Linked DNA regions of Rattus norvegicus. The protein of the gene in region 1 interacts with the protein of each later gene in a biochemical or structural test. Links are inferred from orthologs where the notes say so. Each region holds a gene or a part of one and is shown in the gene's direction. Other genes may lie near its edges.

What was found. The genes of interacting proteins can lie anywhere in the genome.
Region 2: the proteins of Magi2 (region 1) and Adrb1 interact in a test that uses a peptide from one of them, tested with the Homo sapiens proteins (4 studies listed by IntAct, with this or other methods). The link is inferred for Rattus norvegicus from reciprocal best matches to the Homo sapiens genes MAGI2 and ADRB1.

Annotation. Positions count from the first base shown.
Region 1 is NC_086022.1:16,758,582-16,764,806, reverse strand, and holds the start of Magi2 (membrane-associated guanylate kinase, WW and PDZ domain-containing protein 2), read left to right. Parts: upstream 1-2,671; 5' UTR 2,672-2,806; coding exon 2,807-3,107; intron 3,108-6,225. Other genes in the region: uncharacterized protein 4921504A21Rikl, read right to left, coding at 1,632-2,211. UniProt on the Homo sapiens protein: Seems to act as a scaffold molecule at synaptic junctions by assembling neurotransmitter receptors and cell adhesion proteins. Plays a role in nerve growth factor (NGF)-induced recruitment of RAPGEF2 to late endosomes and neurite outgrowth.
Region 2 is NC_086019.1:265,774,515-265,780,591, forward strand, and holds Adrb1 (beta-1 adrenergic receptor), read left to right. Parts: upstream 1-2,588; 5' UTR 2,589-2,843; coding exon 2,844-4,244; 3' UTR 4,245-5,600; downstream 5,601-6,077. UniProt on the Homo sapiens protein: Beta-adrenergic receptors mediate the catecholamine-induced activation of adenylate cyclase through the action of G proteins. This receptor binds epinephrine and norepinephrine with approximately equal affinity.

The DNA of each region.
Region 1 (6,225 bases):
GAGGCATTTTCTCAACTGCAGCTCTATTTCCCAGAGAAATATCCCGTGTGTCAAGTGAACAAAATCTTACTAGGAAAGAGAAGGGTTTAGATTCTGATTCCGATATCTGCAGGCAAGTCAATACAGTGTGGACTGGGAACTAACACAGAGCTCTGCAGCTCTGTCAGCCTAAGGATGGTGAGAAGGGGCCTCCTAAGGAAAGCGGCTGAATCACTGTTTTTCTTTTGTCCCAAAAAGGAGAAGGCCTAAATCTATGGCCACACTATACTGAGTCCTGCTATGACGTGTGCTAAGTAATATGGGTAACAGGGAAGAGCTCAAGGCAGTGATTGGATAGAGCTGTGAAGACAATCAAAAGGGTCTGGATGCAGATGCATGAGATTATTGTTACAGTGGTTAGATGCATAACTTTATAAGATATAAAAACGGAGGTAGGTAAAATCTATCATTGCCTGCCTCCCTCTCCCCACCTGTAAAGAAGTCTACAATATAACCATAGTATAAAACCTGATAACCAATTAGAACTTTAAATATCAGAACACACAGTGATGGTAATGTGTAACTGGTGTTAAACAAATGCCATCCCATTTGCTATGACTGTCACTTTCCACTCAGGATGGTGCTTCATAATCCTCAGCCTAACTTCAGATGAGACTGGGCTTCCAATGGACACCTCGCTGGTTCCTGAACACTCCTGAAGGCCAATGACTGGGTAGCCCTCACCAGTCATAGCTAACTTTCTGGACATCCATTTTCTCAAGTGGAAAAGGCATGAAGTCGAGCAAATCCACCCTTTGTAAAGATCTTCAGTTCTGACCTAATTTGCTGTGGTCTCTATGAGGGGTGGGGGTGGAGCGGAAAAGGAAGGACCTGCTGTTCAAAGCTAACCTGTGCAGGGCAGCCCTTTCCCTGCCTTGCCTGATTTTCTCCTCACTGCATCAGGCCCCGTTAGTATTGTTAACCCTATTTAAAAAGAAGCGAAGAGAGAAAGGTGAAGGCGCCTGCTAAATGTGGGACTCCTGCAAAGCCCCGCAGCAAAGCCAGGATTCAAACCCCCTCTTTTCTGTCTGGGTCAGCTAAGCCTTTTGAACTGCACTGCTTCCCTCCCACACTCTATTCCAGACATAAGGATCTTAACCGCTGATAATTCCCGTGCTCTGATTTTACAAAGACGAGTGGGTGAGTGATTTTTTTTTTGTCTGAAACGTATTATTTCAAATTTAAGCAAATGAAATTTAAGCTATGGAAACTCAAAAAGCACCACTCAGGGTTTCCCTGGAGAAATCAGCGGCCCTCAGCTTCCTGTGCCTTGCTTAGTTTTCCACCTGGCTCTAAGAAGGGGAAGGAGCTAGATGGGGGTACAGCGAGCTGAGTTCATGCTCCATCACCAGCCTTCTTTCCCTTCCTGTAGCAGAGGTTGTTTGTCTGATTAAACTAAGGCTTGACTCCTGTCCAGATTAAACTCTCCATGTCTATGTCCAGTCTCTTACACCAGTTATCTCCTTAACACCTCCCCCACCGCCCCTTTCCAGTTTTCAACTCGGGCAGGTGCCCTCTACCCAGTCTCCACTCAATCCTCTTCAGTTTCTTCCCAGGGGACACATGGCCCTGCTCTGCAGATGTTATTTCACCTTCTTCTTGCAGCCAGGACGACCAGACTCGTTCCTCTAACTTTCCTCTATCAGAGGGCCACTTCTGAGAACTTTGCGAGGAACGTAAAGACTGTAAAAGTGGAGCGAGCCAACAGTGAAGTCTCTCTCCACCGGCTCCGGCTGGGCTGCCAGGCCCTCTGCAGTTCCACTCTAGGACTCCGAACTCCAGCTTCCTCGCGTTGGGATGGAGCCCCAGAAGACTGGAGGCGCTGCAGATGGGCCACCCGGCACCGGGCTTGCCCTCGGGTCCCCGGATTTCTGCTTTGTCCCTGCTGGGGTGTGAGCAAGTCCGGGCGTCCTGCAGGCGAGCAGCCCGGCTCGCAGGGAAGCTATAGACAGGTCCACCCAAGGATCCAGGCTCTTCTCGCCGGCCTGCCCACGCCGGGCCTCCGCTCCCCTCCTTCCCGGCTCCCGCCTCCTCCCGAAGGCTGCGGGGCGGCCCGGGGCCTGCCTCTCCCCGCGCCTTCACTACCGGGTCAAGCCGCGGAGGGAGGGAAACCGCGGCGAAGCCCTCCCTGGCGCTCCACCCGGTGCGCGCGCCTCCTCCCTCCGCTCGCATCCCCTATCCCCCCCCCCACCCGAACCCCCCTCTGCCGCCCGCTTACATCCTGCCAGTACAGTACAACTAGTACACAGGCTCACACGCGCACACGCGCACACACACGCGTTCCCTACCGCTGCCACTGCAGCTGCCATGGATATCGGCTAACAACACAGAGGCCGGCGAGCGCGCGCGCGCTCCCCACTCGCAGCACGCAGGAGTGGCCCCCGGCATCCCTACCCTCCTCCCCACCCCCACGCCACCCGCTCACCAGCTCGGCCACTGCTCGCGCTGGCTCGGCCGCCGCCACCGCCGCTAACGCCGCCAACGCCACCACAGCTTCCTCCGCTGCGGGGCCAAAGCCTTGAGTGTCATTCAAGGGACAGCACAACCTCACCCAAGCTCTCCTACCTCTGCCCAGCCGTCCCTCTCATCCTCCCCCTTCCTCCGCCACACTCCATCCAAAGAAGAGGGAAAGCGCGGAGCAGAGGGAGAGAAAGGCAAAGTCTGCCACCCTCTTCCCTTGGCCCCCTTGCTCCTCCATCCCGATTTTGACTCCCAGACCCTCCTTCCCAACGGACCCTCAGGAACTGAGGAGACTCACCCTACTGCCATGTCCAAAAGCTTGAAAAAGAAAAGCCACTGGACTAGCAAAGTCCACGAGAGTGTCATTGGCAGAAACCCGGAGGGCCAGCTGGGCTTTGAACTGAAGGGGGGCGCCGAAAACGGACAGTTCCCCTACCTGGGGGAGGTGAAGCCGGGCAAGGTGGCCTATGAAAGCGGCAGCAAGTTGGTGTCCGAGGAGCTGCTGCTGGAGGTGAACGAGACCCCCGTGGCGGGGCTCACCATCAGGGATGTTCTGGCCGTGATCAAACACTGCAAGGACCCCCTCCGGCTCAAGTGTGTCAAGCAAGGTGAGCGCAGCTTGCTCGGTGCTCTGCCGGGTGGTGGGACCCCGGCGTGGGGAGGGCATCAATAGGGTGGGCGCGGGGGTTGGATGGGTGAATGCTGCGCCACCGCGGGGTGGGGTCCAGAGAGCATCCTAACTGTGTTCGGAGCAATAGTGGGACGGGGGCAGGGGGACTGGTAGGCTGGCTGAGCCAGGTGGCAGTGTAGCAGGCAACTTAGTTTGCCTAGTTGGACCCTCCCCTTTGGAAGATGCTTGGCCTTGTCCGACCTCCTCTGAGCTCCAGGGCCAAATAGAATGTGCGTCAGTGGCATGCCCACAGTGGACATAGAGCTTTCGGGGAAGGAAAAAAAGCCAGGGGTGAGGAAGAAAGGAAGATGGAGCAACTTGAGGTGCAGAGGTGTCACTAGGGAGGTTGGGAAAAGCTCTGAATATTGGGGCAAGTGGAGAATGCTTGCAGTATATCCAAAAGTAGTCTGGAGACACCTTGGTCAGTAGCGGTTCCCTAGGGACCCCTGAGCCACTGGCTGACAAGGAAGGAAATGAATAAATTGGTTTGGACGCTCTGACCAGTGTTCAGTAACTTTTTCCCTGCTTCACTCCTTTCTCCCCCGCCCATGGTCTTGTCATGTGGGCACCGGGAGTCACGTGCAGACTGACTAACCCTAGAGATCCCTCTGGCCAGCAGGCAGGAGGAGGGGCAGAGATTAATGCTAGGAGCTGGGAGAGCTAGTTTGTAGTGTTGGTGGGGAGGCAGACTGCAGCAATCAAGCGTTCCCCCGAAGTGCTCTTCATTGACTGGGATTTTCTTCTTGACTAGGATTTCTCTGTGGTTGGGCTCTCCTCTAGCTTCAGACCCGGGGGCATGTTTGTAGCACGGAGGTGGATGGAGAGGCAAGTTGGTCACAGCTCAGGCTCCCTGTGTATAACTTGGCTTTGATGAGCTTCTTTCAGGGCTGGGAAGTGAATTTAGAGAGATTGGAATCTTGCTGAACAATGAATGTCTTGGCTTGAAATAAAAATTGTGGCCCTGAGGGAGGAAAGCCTGAGATAAAAGTTTCATTAGAAGAGACTTTATTTTACAAATGTAGCATGTCTTTGTGTTCCTCTGGTGGTAATGCAGTTTCCTGGGTGGCACAGGTGGAGAGGACAGATGTGTCTCACTCATACCAGCGTTATTGGTATGACAGTTTGTTGTCTATTGTTACTCTGTCTTGCGCCAGTGTTGAAATTCTGAGTATCACTGTATTCTGAATTGCTATTCATGCTGCGATCCATTATGAAGAAATACCACAGAGCAGTTGTGGATTTTTTTTCCAGCATAAAACAAAACAAAACAAAACAAAACAAAAACTTTCGAAGTAAACGACCTAGAAGAAAGGTTGATAAACTTCCCCAAAGCTAAGCTGTCACGGAGGAAAACATCTTCAGTGGAATTTCTGGAGTGTTCATCCTCTATCATTTTAGATCATCTAACGCAAACGTGCGGTATTGTGTGACACCGAAGAAGATGGGTCAGATATTAGAGTAACCTCCAGTTGTGACATACTTTGAACTCACATTCAGAAAGTTGTGCTCATGCATTTTATGTTAACAGAGTGGATCATAGCAAATAACAAATGCAGAGTTCAAGGTTAGAGGCCAAGAAATCTACCACAATTGACCATCGACCGTTATTTGGTGGCAAAAATACTGGTATTTGCAAAGGAAAGCAACGGCAAAAGTTAATGTTTATACTTATTTGTTTATGGGTTGATGGTTTATGGATGGATGAATGGATGGATGGGATGGAGGGTGGATATGCCCATTGTGTGATATGGAAATGAGAAAACAGCCCTTGCCAATCAGTTCTCCTCTAATGTTCTGGGGGTCAGAGATGGGAAATTAGCCTTGGTGAGAAGCTTTTCCTGAGATGAGCCTCACCAGCCCAAGTTAACACACTTCCACAGTGATTTTTTTCCTTGTGGTTTCCACTGACCATTTTATTTCTGCATTTTACTCTGATGTCTACATCTTGAGATAGACTTTGCCCAACTCTAACACTCGTAAACGATAAATGTTTATTAGTATTAATGTAATTAATGATTAAAAGAAAATATCTGGTACTAGCCACTTAGCAATTGACATCCAGAGAGACAATGAAAGAGTGAAGGCACAAAAGTTGTGCACATAGGGAATCTTAGATAAGAAATGGGATTTTTTTTTTGCCTATTCTGTGATAAATGATAAAACTAGGGCGAATTTGGCAAGTCTTTCCCTTGGGGAAGCAGAATCTTTAGCAGAGCAGAGCTGTGAGCAATGTTGTAAGATGAGGTTTCCCTTATTCTGGATCTTGGCAAAGAAGCAGAAAGATCCACAGAGGTCCATCTCCATCCAGCCTTGATTTTAGCTAAAGTTGGTCCTGATCAATTAGCTTCTTGCTTATATTTTGTTTGGAAAAATATAACTGTTTAGATTCAGGAAACTTATTTTTATGGACTGAGGTATTTAGGTGAAAACCTTTTCACAGTATATGTTAACCCTTAGTCTGTCAGCATCCAGGTGTCCAATAATAGACATTCATCTACTGAATTCAAACAGATATAGATTAAATAATTAATAGCTTTTGGGAGGTTGGGGATTTAGCTCAGTGGTAGAGCGCTTGCCTAGCAAGCACAAGGCCCTGTGTTCAGTCCCCAGCTCCGGAAAAAAAAAAGAAAGAAAGAAAATAGCTTTTGGGAAATCCACAATAGTACATTTATTTAAATCTAGTGATTCCTATATATTCTGTTATGAAATTGATCTTTTATCAGCAGTGGTTAGATTTATTTAATTATAATTATGAGTAACTGAAAGTTGCAGGACACTGTATTAGAGCCCATGATTCTTGGGTTTCAGTTGGGTTTGTACTTGTTTGAAAATTGGGTAGAAGCTTAGTAGCTCTTGGCTTAGCAGTTCTATTTCTGGGGAGAAACAAGAAAAAAAGAAAAAGATAGAATAGACAGAACTTAAACATGGTTTGCTTGGGAGGTGGGTTTTTTAAATATTAATGAGATTGGTTTTAAAGGTTTAGTTAAATATTGAACATCACACAGAAACTACATGTAGCAAAACTAGGGGAGATTTTGTTAGAAATGGGAAATTTG
Region 2 (6,077 bases), on another chromosome or scaffold:
AGCAGGTCATTACTACTCAAACCGCCCCTTCTGCTTTCTGTTCTGAACACAGGCCCTTCTTTACCAGAGGCAACTCTCCGGACTTAAACCTCTCAACCCTCAAAATTCTGAGCCAAAAAAAAAAAAAAAAAAAAAAAAAAAAAAAAAAAAAAAAAAGCCCTTCTTACATTACCCAGGTTCAGGTATCCTGTCATAGCAACAGAAAACAGACGCAGTCAGTTGCTATGTTGAACTTCTTCTTAATCTCATATCCTTATCCAAAGACAAGTGATTTTTTTAACGTAAAATCTTTGTCTATGTGCTAACAGAAGCTACAGTAATCCAAGCTCACCTGTCAGGACAGCTAAGGAAAGTCCCTAAGAATATCTGAGACTCCTGTCCACTGCAGCCCTCTATTGAAGGCCCTGCTACAAAAGCCTCCTGGGTTTTGAACGCTTACACTTGAATGTATTTATTCCACAGAAATCACTTGATGCAACACCAAATAATCAAGGGGGAAAGGTCCAGGCCAGTCACCCAATCGTGAATCAGGGTCCTGTTGCCTGATGTGTTTATACATATAAATACCACAAGGTTAACTAGCCCCAGCTCCTGACTTAAATCTCTACGAGTCAGTTCTGGCCTTATCATCCCCAGGAATGCCATGTCCTGGGGACACGAGGTTGACACACTGCATCCCAATAGCACTACTTAGCAGAAAGCCTCTTTCCACATTTCTCCGCACCCCAGCACCCAGAGGCCCTTTCTTGATCAGCCTTAATATCAACTCATTCCAAAACACTGGCTGTTTTCAGATTGCCCTTTGAGCCCTTCCAGACATCCCTTAAAAGCCTGGGGAAGGAAAGACCCTTGTTTGAAAAGGCTGGGGTGACTATGGGTGCTTCTGCCCTCTGTGGAGTTCCCGTTCCCAGATTCTCAAAACTCCCCAAGTTGGCAGAACTGAGGCCTGCTAATTCCAGGGCAGGGGTAAATCACTTCCCAGGTGGTCAAACCTGAGTCTAAATCACATCCACAGATTTGACTTTACCAAGAGTTAGGCTGCAGGTGGGCAGTTGCCAGGCTGGTCTTTTGGCAAGGTGAGAGAGTACCAGCTTGGCCACATGTTGATGCTCCTCCCAGATGCTAATCTTTTTATTCCAAAGCAAGAGAGACTCCAGAGCATTACATAACATTATATAACACGACCGTGCACCCTTCCCTTCAGAGACAATTGGGAACTGTTTGCTTCTCAAGAACTTAATTGCAGATTTCCTTCTTATGGCCCGAGGTGGAGGCATTCCCAGGGGGCAGATCAGAGGACCACAGCCTGAGGTTCATCCTCAGCTTCCATCAGGAGTGAAGTCAAACACTCTAGTTTCAGATTCACTCGACAATGTGAAGGGGGAAATGCGGCGTGACTTTAAATGCTTTCCGATTTAATCGCCTCGCGTATTTATATATTTTCTTGCTTCCCAAAGCTCTTCCCAAAGCTGATCCCGCAATTTTGAGAATCTAGCCACCCTACCAAGAAGTCTGAAATCCCAGTTCATGACGTCAACCAAAAAGGGATAGTACCTTGTGTTGACTCAGCTCAGATTATAAAATCCCATGGGTACCAGAGTACAAACGCGGGTGTTAAGGTGTTGGTACTGGAGTCAAAAAGTCTGAAGCGTCATTCTCTGAGTTCTTTCTAGGCGGGGTGGGGGTTGGGGGTGGGGCGGTGTCATTTACTCCGGACTTAATGTTGCCCTAAACTTCTCCTTTATACTCAGAACTCATCGCATCCTTTTCCTTAGCTGGGATTGGGAACTGTGTGTGTCCAACTGGTCCTTGGCGTTGGCAGTTACAGCCACAAACCTTCCCTTCCTTTCCCCATCCACTGCACTTGAGGGAGAGAGAGCACAGCTCTGCGCAAGAACAGCGCCCAGAGAGCCTTTCTGACAGATGCGCACTCTGCTCCAGCAATCCGCCTGGCTGCAAAGTTTCCTCTAATAACTAACACCCACTTCCTATTCCCCAAGCTGTCATTCTGGCCGGGTCCCCTCGCGATCAGGGAAGAGCCAGGCTGCCTGATGGCAGAACCAGTCTCACAGCTAAATTCCCCAATCCCAGCAGATAGGCTGTCCAAGGCATCTCCGGAACGCCAGCAAGTTTCCCTTCTAGCTACCAGGAACCATGCACTAGAGGTAGAAAGGCGAGGGCGCTACGGGGCGCCGAAGGGAAACGGGCGCTCTTGCGGGAGCGGCAAAATGAGAGCTGGGTGCTAGGGCAAGCGGACACCACTTGGGCGGTGGGGGTGGGCACAGGAGGCGGCGGGGCACCGCAGAGGGCGCAGCAGACCAGACTCTGGAAGAAGCCTGAGCAGGAAAGGGCGCGCTCGCTGCAGCCCGTGGGTGCCGGCTGCGTAGTCCACCCGCAATCTTTGGAGCCTTTCAATCGCGGTAGGAGGGGGTGCTGGGTGTTGGGGGTGGGGACACCATTGTTCGGGGGCGTGCCTTGGCGACGATTGGCTGCGGGAGCCTGACGCGCGGCCCCGGGGGCTGGCTGGGGGGTAGGGAGCGAGGTGGGGGGGAGGTGCTGGGTGTTGGAGCCGCCGGCCCCGCGCGCTCAGAAACATGCTGAGGTCCCGGCGGCTCTTCCAGCAGCGACAGCGGCTCCAGCAGCAGCGGCGGCGGCGGCGGCGGCGACAGCGCTTGGCTACGGAGGAGAAGGCGCCCGGCGTCCATGCCTCCGGCCCCAAGCCGCGGCTGCCCTGACCTGGCCGCGACCTCCCCGCGCGGGCCCCGCAGCCCCGGCTCCTGGGGTGCTTCCCAGGCGCGGCCCAGTCCCGCCACACCCCCCGCCCCCGGCCTCCGAAGCTCGGCATGGGCGCGGGGGCGCTCGCCCTGGGCGCCTCCGAACCCTGCAACCTGTCGTCGGCCGCGCCGCTGCCCGACGGCGCGGCCACCGCGGCACGACTGCTGGTGCTCGCGTCGCCTCCCGCCTCGCTGCTGCCTCCAGCCAGCGAGGGCTCAGCGCCGCTGTCGCAGCAGTGGACCGCGGGTATGGGCCTACTCCTGGCGCTCATCGTGCTGCTCATCGTAGTGGGCAACGTGTTGGTGATCGTGGCCATCGCCAAGACCCCGCGGCTGCAGACGCTCACCAACCTCTTCATCATGTCCCTGGCCAGCGCCGATCTGGTCATGGGACTGCTGGTGGTGCCTTTCGGGGCCACCATTGTGGTGTGGGGCCGCTGGGAGTACGGCTCCTTCTTCTGTGAGCTCTGGACTTCGGTAGACGTGCTATGTGTGACGGCCAGCATCGAGACCCTGTGTGTCATCGCCCTGGACCGCTACCTCGCCATCACGTCGCCCTTTCGCTACCAGAGCCTGCTGACGCGCGCGCGAGCGCGGGCCCTCGTGTGCACAGTGTGGGCCATCTCCGCGCTGGTGTCCTTCCTGCCCATCCTCATGCACTGGTGGCGGGCCGAGAGCGACGAAGCGCGCCGCTGCTACAACGACCCCAAGTGCTGCGATTTCGTCACCAACCGGGCCTACGCCATCGCCTCGTCCGTCGTCTCCTTCTACGTGCCCCTGTGCATCATGGCCTTCGTGTACCTCCGGGTGTTCCGCGAGGCCCAGAAACAGGTGAAGAAGATCGACAGCTGCGAGCGCCGCTTCCTCAGCGGCCCGCCCCGGCCGCCCTCGCCCGCGCCCTCGCCATCACCAGGGCCACCGCGCCCCGCAGACTCGCTGGCCAACGGGCGCTCCAGCAAGCGGCGGCCGTCGCGCCTCGTGGCTCTGCGAGAGCAGAAGGCGCTCAAGACACTGGGCATCATCATGGGTGTGTTCACGCTCTGCTGGCTGCCCTTCTTCCTGGCCAACGTGGTGAAAGCTTTCCACCGCGACCTGGTGCCGGATCGCCTCTTCGTCTTCTTCAACTGGCTGGGCTACGCCAACTCGGCCTTCAACCCCATCATCTACTGCCGCAGCCCCGACTTCCGCAAGGCTTTCCAGCGCCTGCTTTGCTGCGCGCGCCGGGCCGCCTGCAGACGCCGCGCAGCCCACGGGGACCGGCCGCGCGCCTCGGGCTGCCTGGCGAGAGCTGGGCCGCCGCCGTCCCCCGGGGCTCCTTCGGACGACGACGACGATGACGCCGGGGCCACCCCACCCGCGCGCCTGTTGGAGCCCTGGGCCGGCTGCAACGGCGGGACGACCACTGTGGACAGCGATTCGAGCCTGGACGAGCCGGGACGCCAGGGCTTCTCCTCCGAGTCCAAGGTGTAGAGGGCCAGGCTCTCCGGGCGCACGGACGCCGCTCCCCATAGTCCCGGGCTGGACACGGGCTCTGCATCCCTAGAGGAAGAGAGCCCGCCTGGGCGCCCCTGAGCCGCTCCCCAGGGGAGAGAGGAGGTTTCTGTTTACTCAAGACCGAAAGCAGGTGAATGCGAAGCCCACAGATCTTTTGAATCATCCGAGACGTACAGAAAAGCCCGGGACCGAGCGTTGCGCAAAAAGGAAAGTTTGGGAGTAGTTGGGAGAGTGTGGCTTAGTGTGGCTTACTGGCTTGTCTTGAGTTCCTTTCTCTCTGAGGTTCGGCCTTTCGTGTGTTTAATGCACCTTTAGGCACCCCCCCCCCGTGGGTTTTGACACTTTCTGCAAGGACCCGAGTGGAAACTAGGAGGGGAGGGGAAGGGGGAGGGTGGAGTCTATCACCTGGCCTTCTGACTTCACACCTAGGAACCTAAGTGTTCAGCTCTGGTTTGGGGTGGGGGCAGGAGCGGTGATAATTAGCCAGGAAGTGTTTCCTTTTGCTTTCTAAAGAAATTGCATATTAATTCCGGAGTATTGGTGTCTCCTTAAAGCAAAGGGGGGAAAGGTGGCTGAGAAACAGACCAATCTGGTTTCGAGAAACTATTTGTGGAGCACGGTTCACCTTGCTTTCTCCTGGAGGGCAAACCCTGTCCCCTGCGCGCCTCGGTGGTCCTGCTGTGGGTCCTCTACCTCACTCTGTGCATATTGCACAGCAAGATAGAAAGACTTGTTTATATTAAACAGCTTATTTATGTATCAATATTAGTTGGAAGGACCAGGCGCTGAGTCTCTCTCTGTGACATGTGATTCTGTCAACTAAAGATAGGACAGAACAAAAGGAAACAGTTGGGATTATTGCACATGTGGCTAAAAACAAAGATGACAAAAAAAAAAAAGGCAGTGGTTGAAAGGCCATTTTGCACAGTGTTAGACATTGTAAAATCCATAGAAGTTGTTAACTTGCACAAAAAATTAAATATTTTTAATGGGACGGGGAGGTGGGCAGATCTTTAAAATGCTAAAAAATAAAATTCAAACTCAGTTTCTCTTGTCTATTATGTTATTGAGTTGATGATTTATTGGGAAATCACTTTTTATACTCTTATCATGGTACTGTAACTGTATCCATATTATAAATATTATTATCTTACGTATTTTTATTATAATTTTTTAATGTCCAAGTGCCCACGTGAATCTGCTGGTAAAATTTAGCATTCGTGTGTATATTCTATCTCTTCTTGTGTGTGTGACCAAGTATTTATACTCTGGTGCGACTAAGTACCATGTGGGGAATTGGTCCATGTGCAATAAAGCAGCAGTGCAGCGCAACCGAGGTTATGTGCCGTGTGTCTGTCTGTAAGGGGTCCGTGATGACAGAAGAGACTGAGTGTCTGCTTCAAAGCACAGACTGGCAGCCTTTTAATGTCTCTTCATGACTCAATCGCAGAGCAAAATGCCTCTAAACCAAATAAGGTGGTCACCAACAGAGAGCCCCAGATCTGCCCTAAATTTTCACAGCCGGATTCAAGGTATTCCAGACAACTTAGGCACCCCCAAGAGCCCATCTGCTGCACTGGATGGAAGAAGGGATTGTGGTATCTTCTGCCAAGGAGAGCCAAAGAGAGTGTTGGAGCCAGGTAACTCAGGAACAACTTCTCACAGAAAAACAGACCACAGACCGGAAGGAAGGAATGACCCACGGGACGATGTCACCCACTTGAAATACGGTGAGTGGCTTCCACAGTTTATGTTTGTGTCCCCATCGAAAACCACAGTGGGCTCCCAGCTCTCCAGTGGCTGCTTAGG